Macaca mulatta: one gene and its partners. The protein of the gene in region 4 interacts with the protein of the main gene of each other region in a pairwise test. Links are inferred from orthologs where the notes say so. Each region holds a gene or a part of one and is shown on either strand. Other genes may lie near its edges. The genes, in order: PIAS4, TOPORS, PIAS3 and SATB1.

Region 1 (3,559 bases), on a different chromosome or scaffold from region 4:
TGAGGGTGTGGACTATGGATGTGTGGGGGTGTGTGTGACGGTGTGGACTGTAGGGATGTGGGTATGTGGGTGTGGGTTACGGTGTGGACTGTAGGGATGTGGGTGTGGGTTACGGTGTGGACTGTATGGGTGTGGGGGTGTGTGAGACGGTGTGGACCACATCCATGTGTGGACATGCGGGTGTGCGCCCACATCTGCTTTCATACTGCACTGTGTACCCCCCAGATCAGGAAACGGCCTGCAGTGAAGGCTGCTCAAAGCCGCTGCAGAGGCTGTGAGGGCAGCACTGGAAGCAGAGCCAGGGCTCCCCATGCCCATCCCAGCCACAGCCTCTCCAGAGCGCCCCCGCTGTGTACGGCCTTCTTCCTTGGAGGTCCCGCCAGTCCCATTTCACAAACGCAGAAACAGAGGCTCAGGAAGGGGATGAGTTCCCTGAGGCCACAGGGCCAACTGGAGGCAGGCACTGGTTCTGCTCCCCGACCCCGTCCTGGCCAAAGGGCCTCGGTCTCCCCACCCGCAGGAGGGAAGGGCGCAGTGGCTGGGGGGCGTCTGGGGAGAGGCCCCATGCCTCATGGGTCCATGCAGGGCTCAGGCTGGCCTGTTACTGTCAAGGCTACAGCTGCTCCCAGGCGCCTGCAGTGGTGTCGTTCTCATCACACAGGACAGCCCTCGTCCCGCTCTGGGCGACATTTTCTTTTTTTTTTTTTTTTTGAGACGGAGTCTCGCTCTGTCCCCCAGGCTGGAGTGCAGTGGCGTGATCTCGGCTCACTGCAAGCTCCGCCTCCCGGGTTCATGCCATTCTCCTGCCTCAGCCTCCCGAGGAGCTGGGGCTACAGACGCCCACAACCGCGCCGGCTAATTTTTTGTATTTTTAGTGGAGACGGGGTTTCACTGTGGTCTTGATCTCCTGACCTCGTGATCCACCCGCCTCGGCCTCCCAAAGTGTTGGGATTACAGGCGTGAGCCACCATACCCAGCCTTCTGGGCGACACTTTCTGAGGCTGATGGGACTCCTCTCACCCAGGCCAGTCCCCCGCCCGCCCCACCGAGGTCTCTCTGAGGCAATGCTCAGAGCCCCCTGTGCCGGGGGGCCACCCCAGGCGTAGCACAGCTCTGCCTGCTCACTGCCCTGTTTGCAAAACTCCTTCTCACCCTCCAAAGTCCCACCCCACAGCTTCTCTTCCTCCTCTCCAAGACAGACACAGCAGTTTATGTCTGGCTCTGCTCCTCTATCCGCTCCCCCCGCCAAGAACAAGGCTCCCTGTAGGCAGGGTCTGGAACAGGACTCTTTTGGGGACCCTGGGGTCACCCACTCAGAGCCAGGGACAGACAGACGACAGGGCTCATGGAACAAAGTATGAATCAAGGACCTCTCCTCCAGGAAGCCTCCCTGGCTACACTGAGTCCCATGGGCTGCTGAGGCCAAGGCCTGTGTGGGATACAGCTGTCTGCCCCAGCCCTGGTGGCCCTGGAGCTGTGAGAGCTGTAAGAGCTGCCGCCACCCCAAGCCCAAGCCCCACTCCGGGCCTGTGGGGGAAGGCGGGCACCCGGCTGCACAGCTGTCAAGCTGGGAACAGAGCAGCCATTCAGGCAGTCCACGTGCCCGGCCCCAGGGTCTCCTCTCTCTACCCGAAGCTGGGATGCAAGGGGGTGGCCACCCAGCCTTCCACAGAGGCGACCCAGACTCAGGCCAAGTTCAAGTCCCAGTCTGGCCCCCTGTGAGCCGAGGGGGGCTCCAGCTGCTGGCTGCCTCCTCTGAGCCTGTTTCCTCGTCTGTAAAATGGGGAAGCTCACAGGTCTGCCTCCCAGGATGGGGACAACTGCACAAACCGGAGGTCTACTTAGGGACCAAATCTATGACCCCAGAGGCAGGCCAGCCCTGCCTTCACCTGCACGGTCCACTGAGGCCGTGCACCCGAGGGCTGGGGGCCCAGCTCACCCCCCCAGGCAGGGCCTGCTCCCGCCTGTGAGGGCACCAGCTCGTGCCGCTGTGGCCTCACGCCCTGCCAGAGGCTCTGGGGACGAGAGGTGGGCGTGGCCGGCGCCATGCAGGAGCCGCATCAGGTGCCACAGACAACAGGGCTCAGTTTCTGGAAACTTAAGCCCTGGGCAGAGCCTCCCTCCAGGGAGAAAGGTCTTGTCCTCCTGTCCCCTGGTGCCTGGGGAATGCCTGGCCACAGCTGTGCCACCCAGGAAGGGAAGGGTATGGCGTGGCCAGAGCACTCCAGGGGCACCACCTCCTTCGCCTCTCTGTGAGGAGCCACCCCCATTGCTGCGCGTCCTGGGGCGAACGCCGTGTGAAAGCAGAGTCCGGCTTGGTTTTTTGGGGCAAAAACCACACTCCTGGAGCTCAAGGTCACACCTGCCTGAGGTCATGTGGGAGCGGGGTGGACCTGAGCCCGCCTTCTGCAGCCTAAGCTACATGCCTATCGCCTGCACAGCAAAGGCTCTGAAAAGTTCCGCGAGCAAGAAACGGGCTCTTCTCACAGCCCGGGGCTTCCAAAGCTCCGGGACCGTGTGTCCCCACTGCTGTGTCTTGCTGGGGCAGCACGGGGTCTGCAGGAAGCAGGGTGCTGCCGAGATCTCCATGGCCGCCCGGCTCCGGCCGCCCTCCCGGGGCCCCAGGCTCACCCATCGATGATGAGCTGGTCGTAGGGGGCTGGCTTGTCGCACACGGGGCACATCCAGGTGGGCTTCTTCTCATTCATCTGCAGGTAGAAGACGGCGTCGAAGCACTGCAGGTGGGCGCAGGTCTCTGCCCGGCAGGGCACAGAGAGCCGCATCTTCACCAGCTGCGGGGGAGGGGCTGCGTGAGCATGGCACCCGTCTGCTGTGCCCGCCCACCCGGCACCCCTCACCCCCAGCTCCATCCTGTGGCTTGTTCCAACGCTCATGCCTCAGGAACACGGGGGGACCAAGACCAGCCTTGCCCCCGCAGGCTCACGGTCCAGCCAAGATGCCCTGGGCCCAGGGCCACCAGGGAGGAAGTACAGCCGCAGGAGAGGCCCCAAGGAGGAGGCTGCCCCAACTCACCGGGCAGATGAGGGACACCCGCACACCAGTGGTGGCGATCTCGCTGTCGGGATCCAGGCGCAGCTTCTCCTTGACTGTGGGGAGGGAACGGAGGACGCCGTCAGAGAGGTGGGCACAGTGGGGCACAGGACTGGGATTCGGGTTCTCTCCAGCACCCGTGACCACCTCCCAGAATAGATGCCCCCAAAACGAGCCTTGAGCCTCGCTGTGTGGCTCAGGGCCACGAGGCACCAGAGGAAGTCAGGCGGCGACCACCATTAGATTTGACCACAACCTGGGCACACCACAGACCCAGCCGACGCCCCCACACGCAGGTGGCCTATGTGGCCTCCCCTACCCCGCGTGGGCTGTGACCCACGGGACTTTTCTGGAAAGTTTCATGCAACACAGCCACCGACGGGGTCATTGCTGTGACTTAATTCCGTCACTGACGCACCATCCCCAAGGCCACAGTGGGGAATGAGGCAGGGATTCCTTTGGGAGATGGACCCGGGGGCCTCCCGGCTGTGAGCCAGGAAGAGGCCGC
Region 2 (4,169 bases), on a different chromosome or scaffold from region 4:
GCCCAGACAGAGGATAGTCTGTAACAACAAAACAATCATCATACTTAAACAGGTTCGCTACCTCTTGCCACCTTAAAGAAATCACTGTACCTCTCTGAAATACATTTTAATCAATTCCAAAAGAAGATACAAAAGTTATGCGATCTGCTGACCAGATCCTATCAAATTGAATTCCAATTCCTGCAATAAGAATTGGTTGGGAACCGTTCCCCTCTAAAACCACTCATTCCAGACAAGCATGATTGATTTTAGCTGATTGTATAGCTTTCTTTGCATTTCATGGACAAAACCCAGAAAGTTCTCACCACTACTAAAATCTCGGGCAGCTGTTTCTTAATTTATCTTAAATAATCTTGAAAATTACCTATCAAAAGGTCTACTCCGTTTTCCTCTTAAATCACTATGTGGCTCATCTCAGCACTGCCCCCTTCCAGCCTACAATCAGCAACCCATGAGGAAAGCTGCAGTAACTGGATGCATGAACAAGTCACGGGCAATTTCTGCTCAGAATGTTTAACAGCACAGACGAGTCCAAAAGCCACGGTGATAGTCGTTTGCTTTGGTTCAGAACTGCCACTAGACAGACCTAAGATAGGCACCATGAGCATTACATAACTACAATGAACTTAAATATTGTTATTCCCATTTTACAGACAGGCTCAGGGGCTTAGGGGACCTAGGCAAGGTCACATATCCTGTAAGGGTGACGCCACGATTCAGTTTCATTGCTTTTTCGTTTTTCCCTGAGACCAAGCTCTTTCCAGTACACGGGCAGGCTCGCGCCCCTCGGGAGCGCTTGTGGGAAGCGCAACCCTCGCCCGCCCGCACCAATCCACAGGTGCGCGCAGAAGCCGCCCGGGGGCCCTGGCCCTGGCCCGCTGAGGCCCGGACGGCCCCGCAGGCCAAACCCGCAGCCCTCGGGTCCCGAGGCGCCGCTCCAGGCGGGAGCGTCAGCTCATCCGACCCTTCCGACCCCCACGTCCCATTGTTCCGAATCTCACTCACCTCGGAGGATGCCGGCGCAGGCCTGGCTGGGGCGCTCGCCACGAGCTCCCGGCAGCCCAGAAAGCTAGGTCGGTGACGGCAGGATCCGCGAAGGCGTACCCGGCGACTTCTCCGCCTACCCTCCGAAGCGGGAGCAGGCGGGGGCGCTTCACCCTCCTCGCGAGACAGCGGAGACCCCAGCGGCGGCTGCGACCCCTGTGACGCAAAGCGCTCATCACCAATGGCAGCTCGGAAGCAGGGCAGAGAGTGAGACCCACCCACCAGCTCCCGGCGCGTCAAAACACAACACCCGCCTTCGCCACGCATGCGCAGGAGATGGGCGCCGGCCCCGAGGGCGGGGCTCAGCGCGCCTGCCGAAACGCGGCCCCTCCCCCGCAGCTCCAGACCCGGGATGAGGGCAGTGCGACCCTCCCCATCTTGTTACTGGTACTCAGCCGCTGGGGACACTGACTGAATGTTCGCCCCTAACTTACCCGGAAAACACGACAACTAGTTCGATGTCGTTTCAACCTCACCAAACTCTGCGGGAACTTACGAAATTGTCTCTAGTGTCTAGATAAGGGAACTGTTACACGGAGTTGAAGTCCCGGAAGCAACACCGGGAGTCCAACGGGATCCAAAACCAGAGCCCAACCAGTATCCTATAAAATCTTCAGAGAGGGATCCCCTCCAGGCTGGGGAGAAACAGGACAACCTAACAAAACAGGGCCTGGACTCTTCCCTAAACAGACCACGTTTTTCTCCGCTCTTCCCCTTCCCACTCCCTGAAATCTAGACTAAAACTCTTTTAAGATAACTGCGAGGTATAAAGAACGTCTAGAGCCTAAAGCGGCCCGTTGCCAGATTCTACTCCTCAGGCCTCAAATGTGAGCGTCCCAAACATTCTAGAGCTGAACCTGGTACGCTTGCCAGCCAAACTGCCGTGCTCGGGGCTCAGTATCTCATGCGCGGCCGTTCAAGAACCTCAGACACGCTCAGAAAACACTTGTTGCTTGACTGGTACATTATGGCGGGTAACGCATCCCACATATTTCTTCTTAGAGATATACATCATGCTATACATTTGTGAAGAACGGCTCGATTTACAGGGGTTCCCACAACGATCTGTCACATACAAAAGAGTGGGTGGTATTTTTACGTCAAAGATGAACAGGCGAACGTTCATCTAAATCGTGTGGTATCAGATGCGGAGAGGCGTAGGGAAGCCGGGGGAGAAAGCATTAATTCTTCCAGCTTTAGACCCCGACGTAATATTTAAAACGTGGATTGTTTTTCAAATAAACTTTTCAATGGACACGACAGCACCTCATCCTGCGTTAATACTGCATTGCAACTATAAAGAAAACCTGTGGAGGTACGCCCATCTCCTATCTCTCTAGTTGGCAAAAAAAGGAAAAAAAAAAAAAGGCAATTTTTAACATTTTCTCGTTTATTCCCCTCTAAAAGGCGGGCAAGGCCCCCGATCACGTGATCCCGCCCCCCCCCCCCCACCAACTCCGGGCGGAAGAGGCCGGCAACACCTCTGCACGAAGCGAGTGGGCGGCCGCTCGTGCCCGGCTAAAAGATGGCTGCTGCCGCCGGGCAGCCACCGCCTGGGAGGTTACTGTAAGGCCCGCAACTCCCGCCAGCTCCCGCGAACCGCTGCCGCCTCCTTACCATGAAGCCAGTGAGTCGTCGCACGCTGGACTGGATTTATTCTGTGGTAAGTCCCGGGGCTCGCGGGCCCCCACCGTGTCGACTCACTGGGCCTGCAGGCAGAAAGGCTCTACTTCTTCAGCACCCAGAAACTCCAAAATCCATTCCTGAATTAAGCATTTCACTCCCTCACCTCGACTCCGCCTCTTCCTGGAGGATACGATCTTCCGCTTCTTACGTAAGGGCAGCTGGGTGTACCCGCCACTGGAACCCCATTTATTCGACTTTGTTACTTTAATTCCCACCTTAGCAATGGCACACGGTAACCTGACGGCGGGGGGAAATACCAGGCACATTTCACACCTCTTTTGGTTTTTGGTTTAGTTGCTGCTTGTCATCGTTTTAATCTCCTGGGGCTGCATCATCTATGCTTCAATGGTGTCTGCAAGACGACAGCTAAGGAAGAAATACCCAGACAAAATCTTTGGGACGAATGAAAATTTGTAACTCCTCTGGATTTACTTCTCTGAAAATAGTTCTTTCCCTCATGCTTAGGTAGATTTAAAAGTAAAATTCATAATGCAAAGTTCCCAAGTTTATTTTTGCATTATCCTTTATAACAAGCACTAGTATGCAAATTTGCAGAAATATCAGGCACATTTCACACCTCTTTTGCAGTTTTTGGTTTAGTTGCTGCTTGCCATCGTTTTAATCAACTGGGGCTGCATCATCTATGCTTTAATGGTGTCTGCAAGACGACAGCTAAGGAAGAAATACACAGACAAAATCTTTGGGACGAATGAAAATTTGTAACTCCTCTGTATTTAATTCTTTGAAAATACAGTTCTTTCCCTCATGCTTATGTAGATTTAAAAATAAAATTCATAATGCAAAGTTCCCAAGTTTATTTTTGCATTATCTTTTGTAACAAGCACTAATATGCAAATTTTTAACTTAGAAATTTTAGTATTTTACATTCTCATGACAAAACAGCAAATAAGCTTTTCAATGAAGTTTCTAAATTCTTTAAAAATGACTCGGAAAGATTCCTTATTTTTGGGGGGGGGTGGGTAGGGACAGTGTCTTGCTCTGTCGCCCAGGCTGGAGTGCAGTCAGTGGCTCTATCTCAGCTCACTGCAAGCTCTGCCTTCTGGGTTCACACCATTCTCCTGCCTCAGCCTCCCGAGTAGCTGGGACTACAGGTGCCCGCCACCATGCCCGGCTAATTTTTTTGTATTTTTAGTAGAGACGGGGTTTCACTGTGTTTGCCAGGATGGTCTTGATCTCCTGACCTCGTGATCTGCCCGCCTTGGCCTCCCAAAGTGCTAGGATTACAGGCGTGAGCCACCATGCCCAGCCGGAAAGATTTCCTTAAAACAAAAGTGCATGGAATTTCTGTTCTTATATTTGTTTATTGCGAAAATTCACTGTTGCATACCCTGATACCAAATTAAAGTATTGTATAAGGAAAAAAAACCAAACAAACTAGTACGTAACTGAATACTTTTCCATACCCTGTTTTCCAAGTC
Region 3 (4,193 bases), on a different chromosome or scaffold from region 4:
GAGGATAGAGCAGAGACACACAAAAGAACGAGAGACAAGTAGGCACAAGAGGATGGATAGGGAAAAGCGCAGGGCAGAAGAGAAGAAAGTCAGAAAGCAGAGTCCAGGGGTAACCCCCCAGGGATGAGGGAGGAAGACTGGAAGAGATGTACCTGGATGTAAGAATCTGCTGCACTTGCTGGGGTGTGAGGGCAAAGGTAAAGTGCGCTTCCTCAAACCGCTGGCTAGAAGTGGATGCTGAGGATACAAAGGGGCAGTTATTCCAAGCCCATGCACAGGCAGCCACAGAAATCACCCCCATCCCAGGTCACTGATCCCATAGGACTAAAGCCTAAGAAATGTCTGGGGAACAGGTAGGGAGTCCAGAAGACTAAGGGACCACAAAGAGCCATACCAAGGGTGGTGGGCCGGATGAGCTCCCCGTAGACTTCATAGAAGGGCAATGGTTTCATGGTGACATCAGGGTGCACAGGCTGGGCAAGAGAGGGGTGCATGTCCACCTCACGCTTGGGGCCCAGCAGGGTGCCAGGGGCCAAGAGGGTTGGGGGAATGGGAGCTAGAGGACCAGGGGAGCCTACAGGAGAGGTGCCAGGAGGCAAAGAGAGAAGGGAGAGGTCAGAGGGCCCCAGGGTCTTCCGGGGAAAGCGTCGTCGGTAAAGCTCTTTGATCTTCATCTGGACGCTAGGGGCACAGCTGGACTTCAGGAGGTGCAGGGCCTTGGCCAGGAGCTCGTGCTTCCGCCCACTCTTGTTCCGGCCAGCAAAGCCAAGAAGCACCTGGAGCTCAGACACCCGGAAACTCATCACCATGTGCTGTGGAGAAGAACAGAGAAGCTTGAGAATCCTCCGTTGCACAGGCCTGCCCTGCCAAGACATGGGCTGAGCTACCAGGTGGGCAGTGCCTTTTTCCCTCCAGCACTGATGGGAAAGATGATGCTTCGCAGCTAGTGGATTACTGCCAGGTAGTCAACCTATCCAAAGGGACATCTCAGTCCCACTTTAGCAACCATCAGGTCAGCATCATCACCACCCCCTGCCCACCCCAAGCTTGAGCAACACTGTCTGTCTCCCCAGGCCTGGAAGTGGCCAGAGTGGGGCAGGGAATGGCAGACAGCAAGCCACCCTCAGACACACCTCCAAGTCTACACAGCCTCCCGCCTCCAACCCTGCCTCTAGTCTGGACTCTCCTTTAAGCTGCTTATCTCCTCTCTTGCCCTTTCTCAGACACTCAAACTCATCCCAGCCTCCTGGGAAGAGGATAGGAGACAGGGAGAAGGAGGGAGAGACAAGAGGATTCAAGCCAGACAGCCCCACGGGGAAGAAAGGGGCCAGGTGGCTGGAGGATTGTGCCCTTCAGCCCACCCCTCCAAACCACCTTAATTCCTCAGCTATTTCCCCCAAGCCTCTGAAGCTTCTGTGGGCCGGGGTTTTCAGGTCAGGGTTCAATGCTCATTACTCCCCCAGATCCTTTCTTGGAATCATTAATATAACCGCCCCCTCCCCACAACTTAGTCCTATTTTTCTGGAAGGGAAACAGGACCAAAACTTAGGTTGAGGAGATTAACAGTGATTCACTGAGTCCAAGTATCCTGCCTGTTTACTCTATCTGCCAGGAACCATTATCTGGCGTCTCTCCTACAGAGAGAAAATAATACTCCTGTACAACCTACAGCCCCCCTACACGGGTGGAAGAGGAGCGGGCAGAGCTCTAAACAGAGGCCCTGGGTGGATGAAGGAAAAGCCTCTGAGTCAGGGCACAGAATCGCAAATTTCCTGAAGGTAGCTGGGCCCAGTGGCTAGACCTCCAGACTGCCCAGGACCATAGCTCCATTTCAAAGGGCAGAAGAAAACCAGGAGGCATGGGGATGAACTCGGTGGTTTAAGGTTCTATGAGATGTCCTCAGACGTGGTCACCCTCCAAACTCTGTGTGGCAGAAGGAGGGGAGCGCTCTCCTTAGAGGGAGGACTCCCTTCTGTGAATCTCTAGGAGATCCTGTCATGGGCAGGGCTTGCTAGCCCTACACAATTCTTCTCACAGGAGGCTTTGTCTTGGACCCCTTTTGTGGAATGTGATGAGAAACTTGCTCCTCTTTCTCCCAATCTTTATCTTCTCTGTCCTGTCTTATTTTTTCCATTAGCTTTCCCTATAACTTCCCTCCTTTCTATCTCATAGTTTCACATGCCTCTGCCTCTGCCCAAACATCGCGATTCACTAAGGCAGGACCTTCCTCTGAGCCTCCAGGATGCTTCTGCCCCACCCCTCGAGGTATCAGCCCGCACAGCCCCGCCCCCTGCATCTCAGCCGCCTACTGGTATTTCCCAAAGCTCGGATCCCGAGAGTAGCCCCAAAGACCCTACCCTTTCAGCTGCCTTTCCCCCGGAGCCTCCCCTACATCTGCCCCGCGGTCCCATCCCTGCATCTGCCCCCTACTGTCGCATCTCTTGGCCTCGATCGACTCGCCCCCAGTGCCTCTAGAGCAGCTTTTCCCCCTGGCCCTACCCCAACAACTGCCCCTACTACTAAATCCGACTTCTACCCTTCGTCCCCGCCCCCTGCGCCTCAGCCCCCAACAGCTGCAATTCCCCTCGGCCCCACCCCTACATCTGCCCCGCAGCCCCGCCCCCGGAGCCCCGCCGCAGCCCCTTCCTCGCTCTCAGCCACTTCTTTCCCATCCTCAGCAGCCCGTGCCTGCCACGTCGTCGGCGCCCACCCGAGCCCCGGCACCCAGTCTCGGTCGCTTCCCGGACACGGCGTACCGCCGGAATCAGTCCAGATGGGGATGGGGGAGGGGGCCGGTACCTTTAATTCGCCCAGCTCCGCCATCTTGAGACATCGCAGGCGCCCTAGCCGGAGCCGGAGCTCAGGCCCAGGGACCGGCGCACAACTCTCCACCCCGGCGCCGGCCGCAAATGCCGCCTGCTCCGCCCCGTCCGGCCCCCTATACCTCCCCTTCCCGGCCCCGCCCGCCTGGCTTCGGACTAGCCCCAGCCTGAGCCCCTCCCTCCACAGCGGACCCAGCAGCTACACGTCTGCGGCGGGTTGGCAGGACGCGTAGCCCCGGAGGGAGTTTATGGCCCCCAAGATCGCGGGGTCCCCTAGGGCAACGAAGAGGAGGCGGGTCCGAAGTGCCTGGTGGAGGGGGGCTTTGCCACGGCAGAGTTGGGAGGGGACAAGCTTTTAGAGAGCCAAAGATACTTGAAAGATGGAGGGAAAGTATCGGGAACTGCTAGAGCTCAGAGAAATGGGGGAGGGGGTAGCGAAGTTGGAGCGCAAACCCTCATCTCCATCTCTACATAAGTTTAAGCAACTAAAATCGAGAGGTCTTCCAACTCGGGAAATGGGCGAGCGCTGATCCGTCTTAGGGAAGCCGTGGAGTCGGCATTCAGTTCAAGACAGCTATACTCAATTCACCCTCTCCTCCTCCCCCCAACACCAACTACAATGCAGCTCGTGGTCCGATCGTAGGACTCAAACTCAGCAGCAAAAAAAGTTTGGTGCGGGGAGCGGGACTTACCAGCACAGTTGTGGGAAATGGAGAGAGGGTTCGGGAGGCTCAGAGGGCGGGCTGGAGAGGTGGGGGCATGGGGCTCGGCGCCGCTCCTGCTGTCCGCACGGCAGAAGTTCGGTCCAGCGGCCGGACGCGGCGGCCGCGGCTCCGCCCGGGCCGGAGCTCCGCCCGGCCTAGCGCTCGGGCTGGGGCCGCCCCCTCCACGGGAAGCCCGCCAGGACCGCCGAGAGGGAAGGGGGGCGGAGCTCGGGCGAGAGAGGGAGGGACTCAGAGCCTGGCGCTGGAGCGATTAACTCCTGGTGTGAGTGGATCTGGAGAGATGAGATCCTTGGATCCCATCATTCTCACTACCTCTGTGACCCCTCACGCTTATGTGTGGGATTGGGGTGGTGGCACGCTGCTGCTAAGGCCGTGTGAACCAGGTGTCTGACCGTATAAAGCAGTCTTCCTTGAAATGACAACTGTCTCTCCCTAGGGCAAAGCCTGGGCTACTGAATCCAAAGTGTACCTAACAGTAACTACTCCAGATACCCCTGCACAGTACCTCCACCAGAGCCCCCATACCTTTGGTGTAGCTGAAGATGAATTGAGGGGTTTTCTTGCCAACAAAAGGAATCTTTCTGTCCCTCTCTGAACTACCTACTCACTCTCCTTCCTCCAAAGCCTTGGACCCTCCAGAGGCCCC
Region 4 (4,359 bases):
CTTTCCCCTGAGTTGCCTCGTTCAAATGATCCATACTCAGTCACTGTCTAAAGATCACCTGCCAGAATTTAAAAAGAAGACATGTTATAATTGGGTGGGGACCTACGTGTATATATGTGTCCTATGTAAATGTTTTAGCTCTAGATATCTCTCCACAAATATAATGTATTGGTAAAATGGCCTATCTAGATATGATACAGATGTTACTATATTTCTAGATAATAGCCTTACATTCTTATTTAAATTAACAAAATGATCTGTGGAAACTGTACCAATACACACGAATAAAAAGGCAATTGGCCTATAAAAAAAACTAAGTGGGGAGAAATGGGCTTACTTTTAGAACAAGAATTATCACAAGTATAGCTAAAAAGAAAACAGCAAATTTTATTTATGTAGTCCCAATTTTTAACAATTAGAAACTCATTACAAAATACAGCAGAAACACTTTAATAAAGGATGGAAAGATGATCACAGTTCAAAATATTAGAAATCTAATGTATATGTTTATATGTGTATGTACATATAATATACATATACATATATGTTTTATATGTATATGAATATAAATTCTGAGGAAAATCATACACAATCTCAAAAGAAGGTAACAAACATCTAACTGTTTTTTAAACTCCCCACTGGCTTTTATAAGTTAATGCATAGAAAAAGTTTTCCACTATCAAAGTTTCAAGAGTTATGTGACAGATCTAGTCAAGTCTTGGGTCAAACATGTGATTGGATCAGTTTACCCCTAAGGAAACAGGAAGAAGTGAAGGGTTTTCAAATATCCAATGTACTGATGCATTAAAACTCATGTGTTTTGTAGTATTTAGGTGTCCATTAGCAATAGAGGGCTGTTAACAATAAATATTTTTTAAAAATTTAGAATACACTTTGTGATATACACATTAGGTTGAAGTGCCAAGCTCAATTAAAACACACACACACAAAAAAAAAAACCTTGATGACACTGGTAAAACAAAATATCCAGTATTCAGAAACAACCTCAGCATGCAATGGCGTTAACATTGTAATTAACTTCAAAAAAATTAACAGATAATTATTTTCAGTTATATACTAGACATCAATTTTCACATCATTTATAGTAAAGTGATTAGATAATATCAAAGTCATTTTTAAAGCATAGTTTTAATTAGAATTGATAAGAACAGGTAAGTAGAATTATTTTATGAACTTTGATGGTATTTGAAATATTGAGCTTATGAAAATAAGGCATCATATTTAGGAAAACCAGAGAGAATAATTACCATTTTTCCTAGCTGTCTAGTAATTTGACATGGCTTGTTTTTGTTGTAAATTGTTACACTGAAGCTATTTAAATCTGGATTTGCTGAAAGCCAGTTTGTGTTAGCATGGCTTTTCTGTAAACATTTTTTTCTTCTGTTTAACCATAGCCTACTTCTTACCATATAATCAAGAAAAGGGGGGCAGTAATGTTAATCTGGAAGTTTAAAAGCAACCTTAAGAATGCCAATTGAAGAACTATAAAGTTTGAGAAAAATTAACGGCTATTTATCTTTGTACTCCAGAGTGGCACACTGAGAACTAAAGGTTTACCGTTGATCGAGGTCCCATCTGTTTTTGGTTATGAGGTTCATTAACAATAAATGTGCCTTTTTAAACCACTTTTTATCAAGATTACTCTTTTCCATTATATTAAACTGCAGTCTAAAGCCAAAATTAGAAAGCAATGATTATTAACTTATTCAAAACACTCTTTATAATGTTTCATGTGGATAATACAGAGCTGCTTTTTCTGAAATTGGTTGCCTCATCCTAGAGCAGAAGATGAATTTTAAAACATATGATTTGAAAAGAAAAATGTTTAGCCCTTGGGGCAATTTAAGAGGAAAAAAAGGGAGGGGGTGTAGACAACAGCATCAAAGTTAATGCTATAAAACATATTAAGTAATCATGAAGCTTAACAACACTATAAACCGTACAGCAAATGAAAATGATATATTATAATTTAGTTAATGTATTGACAATCAAAGTATCACATAGGTCATGAAAAACTGTCCTTTGAATACCCACCTATAAGCATCTATTAAACACTAAGTCATGGTGTAAAAAGCTTCACATTACAAACCAAAATTAAATGCACATAAAACACCCAATTTACTCATTTAAACTCTATGCCCGGGCTAAAGTTCACCAAACCACAGTTTGGAATTGAAAAGAGCAATCTCCAACAGGCCTGCCTGGATGACAGCAGCAGGAACTAACTATGGTCTCAACAGATGCCAGGCTGAAGAGTTTCTTTTGAGTTACACATGTTACAACCCATTTTAGTGTAATGTCTGGTTGCCACACAGAAAGCAAGCTACTTTCTGAAAATCCCATTTATCTGCCCATAAACTAAGACCATATATGATAATTACTTAATAAAACAGTGAACTCTAACAATTATTTCCTTTAAAAAGAAAGAAAAGCACGAAATTATAGTTTTTTAAGAACCGATTTTTTTTGCAAAGTGAGATCCTTTTCAATGAGTTTCTAGCTGGATCGCCTCCTTCGTCCCCACACAACCCCATAATCACATTTTAAGATTGTGCCCTTATCCATTCCATATGGCCGGCACGATCCAGGCCAAGCTTTCACTGTGACCTTTTAAAGAGACAAAGAAGCAAAGTACTATCTAGAAACAGAAACACTGCAGTTTTACTGAGTGAAATTAGCAAAACCGACCTGAAACTCACCACTTCAAAACTTGACAGCATATAAATAACAAAAACAAAGGAGATTTCCTTTGCAGACCGGGTTCTTGAAGAGAAGTTCAAGACTGATGTTTTCTATGTCCTTTTTTTTTTAATTTAAAAAAAAAAAAAAAAAAAAGCAGCAGACCTGAAGGCGACTTCCCCTGAAATTGTATTATTTTTCCTTTCCCCTACCCCCGCCCCCCTAAGCGGGGGAAGGGCAGAAATAAACGTCTAGAAGAGTAGCCATGAGAAAGGGGTTTAAAAAAAAAAAATCACAATTCGAAAACCAACATATATGCGTTTGTAAAATGTCTAACCTCAGAGAACGGGGTTTGCGATGGGGAGGAGGGGAGAGTGGGAAGCAGGGAGGAGGAAGAAGATAAAATTGATCTGACAAGTGATTCGTTGGGGGGAAATCGTAAAAACAAAGCAAAACCCGTTATGAGCTGTACACTATGATGGTGCTGGGGAAACGAGGTGGTGACTGAGGATTCTCTTTAAAAAAAAAAAAAAAAAAAAAAATCACTGCGGACAATGTCTCCAAAAAGGAAAAAAAAAAAGGCCCTTCGCGTCTCTCACTCCCTCCTGCTCGCTCGGGTTCTTCGGTGTGAGGACTGAAAGTCTACTTCTGGCTGTCACTTGCAATATTATTCTCCAACAAACCCGAAGAACGCGCACTGGGAAGGCCACCTTGCCTCCCTTCCAATCACCCCCACCCCCCTCCCCAACAATCGTGACTAATATTAACAAACCTTAAACTTTTCCCCACAGCCTCGCACCCCCAACGAGGGCATCTAGCGGGGGACAGCGAGGGTGGGGGGCAGAGGGTCGCGAGAAAAGCCCCGGAAAGGCACTAAAATGCCACTTTTGATTCTGCCCTCGCTGACAACAGCCCCAAGGACCCTCTCCCTGCCCATTGACGCGGGGCTGTGAGCGTCTGGGATCCCAGCAAGTGAGGAAAGAAGAGGTTCGGGGGGAGGGGGAGGAGGAGAAAGATCAGAAGGCACCCCCAGCCACCTCCACCGCCTAGGCAGCGACAAACTCCCCGCCCCCTCCCCCCAAAAAGTCGCCAAGCTCTCACTCGTCCAGAGTCCGAGGTAAACAACGAGCACCACAATGGCACTAGGACTTGGGGGGGGAAGAAACCCAGAAACCCCAACAAAACTGATCAGGAGTTTCCTGAAATGAAAGAGGGGGGCGGGCAGCGTCCTCTGGAGTCGCCCTGGCTTTCGGCTGGGCCCCCAGGCAGGCTAGAGGGCGGCCGCGGCTGTTGTTGTTGTGACGAGGCCGGGTGTTGCTGGGTGGCACAGGGAGAGGTGTGTGTGTGTTTGTGTGTGTGTGCGTGAGTGTGAGCGCGAGTCCCCGGACGGGGCTGCTTCTCTCGCTCTCTCCCTCGCTCGCTCTCCCCCTCGCTGCCGTCTCTGCCCCCATTAAATTATTAGTTGACTCATCCCGGCCGCTGTCGCCGCCGCCGCCGTGCCCCGCTCGGCTCCGCGCGTCCGCCCGGGCTGCAGCCCTCTCCGCCGCTGCTCCTGCTGCTGCTGCCGCCGCCGCCGCCGCTGCCGCTGTGGGTGCCTCTTCTTCCTCCTCCTCATTTTAATACAAAATCACCCCGCTCGCAGCCCCAGCCCCGAGCACG

The links.
Region 1: the proteins of SATB1 (region 4) and PIAS4 interact in a two-hybrid assay, tested with the Homo sapiens proteins (2 studies listed by BioGRID and IntAct). The link is inferred for Macaca mulatta from reciprocal best matches to the Homo sapiens genes SATB1 and PIAS4.
Region 2: the proteins of SATB1 (region 4) and TOPORS interact in a two-hybrid assay, tested with the Homo sapiens proteins (2 studies listed by BioGRID and IntAct). The link is inferred for Macaca mulatta from reciprocal best matches to the Homo sapiens genes SATB1 and TOPORS.
Region 3: the proteins of SATB1 (region 4) and PIAS3 interact in a two-hybrid assay, tested with the Homo sapiens proteins (2 studies listed by BioGRID and IntAct). The link is inferred for Macaca mulatta from reciprocal best matches to the Homo sapiens genes SATB1 and PIAS3.

The regions. Positions count from the first base shown.
Region 1 is NC_133424.1:4,851,303-4,854,861, reverse strand, and holds part of PIAS4 (E3 SUMO-protein ligase PIAS4), read right to left. Parts: intron 3,108-3,559; coding exon 3,034-3,107; intron 2,793-3,033; coding exon 2,632-2,792; intron 1-2,631.
Region 2 is NC_133420.1:66,822,509-66,826,677, reverse strand, and holds the start of TOPORS (E3 ubiquitin-protein ligase Topors), read right to left. Parts: upstream 2,832-4,169; 5' UTR 2,708-2,831; coding exon of another isoform or gene 2,665-2,707; coding exon 2,662-2,664; exon of another isoform or gene 2,555-2,661; intron 1,201-2,554; coding exon 1,006-1,200; intron 1-1,005. Other genes in the region: TZMP1 (small integral membrane protein 27), read left to right, coding at 2,663-2,707, 3,025-3,147. UniProt on the Homo sapiens protein: Functions as an E3 ubiquitin-protein ligase and as an E3 SUMO1-protein ligase. Probable tumor suppressor involved in cell growth, cell proliferation and apoptosis that regulates p53/TP53 stability through ubiquitin-dependent degradation.
Region 3 is NC_133406.1:119,438,319-119,442,511, reverse strand, and holds the start of PIAS3 (E3 SUMO-protein ligase PIAS3), read right to left. Parts: upstream 2,841-4,193; 5' UTR 2,824-2,840; coding exon 2,800-2,823; intron 813-2,799; coding exon 395-812; intron 238-394; coding exon 153-237; intron 1-152. UniProt on the Homo sapiens protein: Functions as an E3-type small ubiquitin-like modifier (SUMO) ligase, stabilizing the interaction between UBE2I and the substrate, and as a SUMO-tethering factor.
Region 4 is NC_133407.1:30,103,325-30,107,683, reverse strand, and holds the start of SATB1 (DNA-binding protein SATB1), read right to left. Parts: upstream 2,851-4,359; 5' UTR 2,721-2,850; intron 59-2,720; 5' UTR 35-58; coding exon 1-34. UniProt on the Homo sapiens protein: Crucial silencing factor contributing to the initiation of X inactivation mediated by Xist RNA that occurs during embryogenesis and in lymphoma.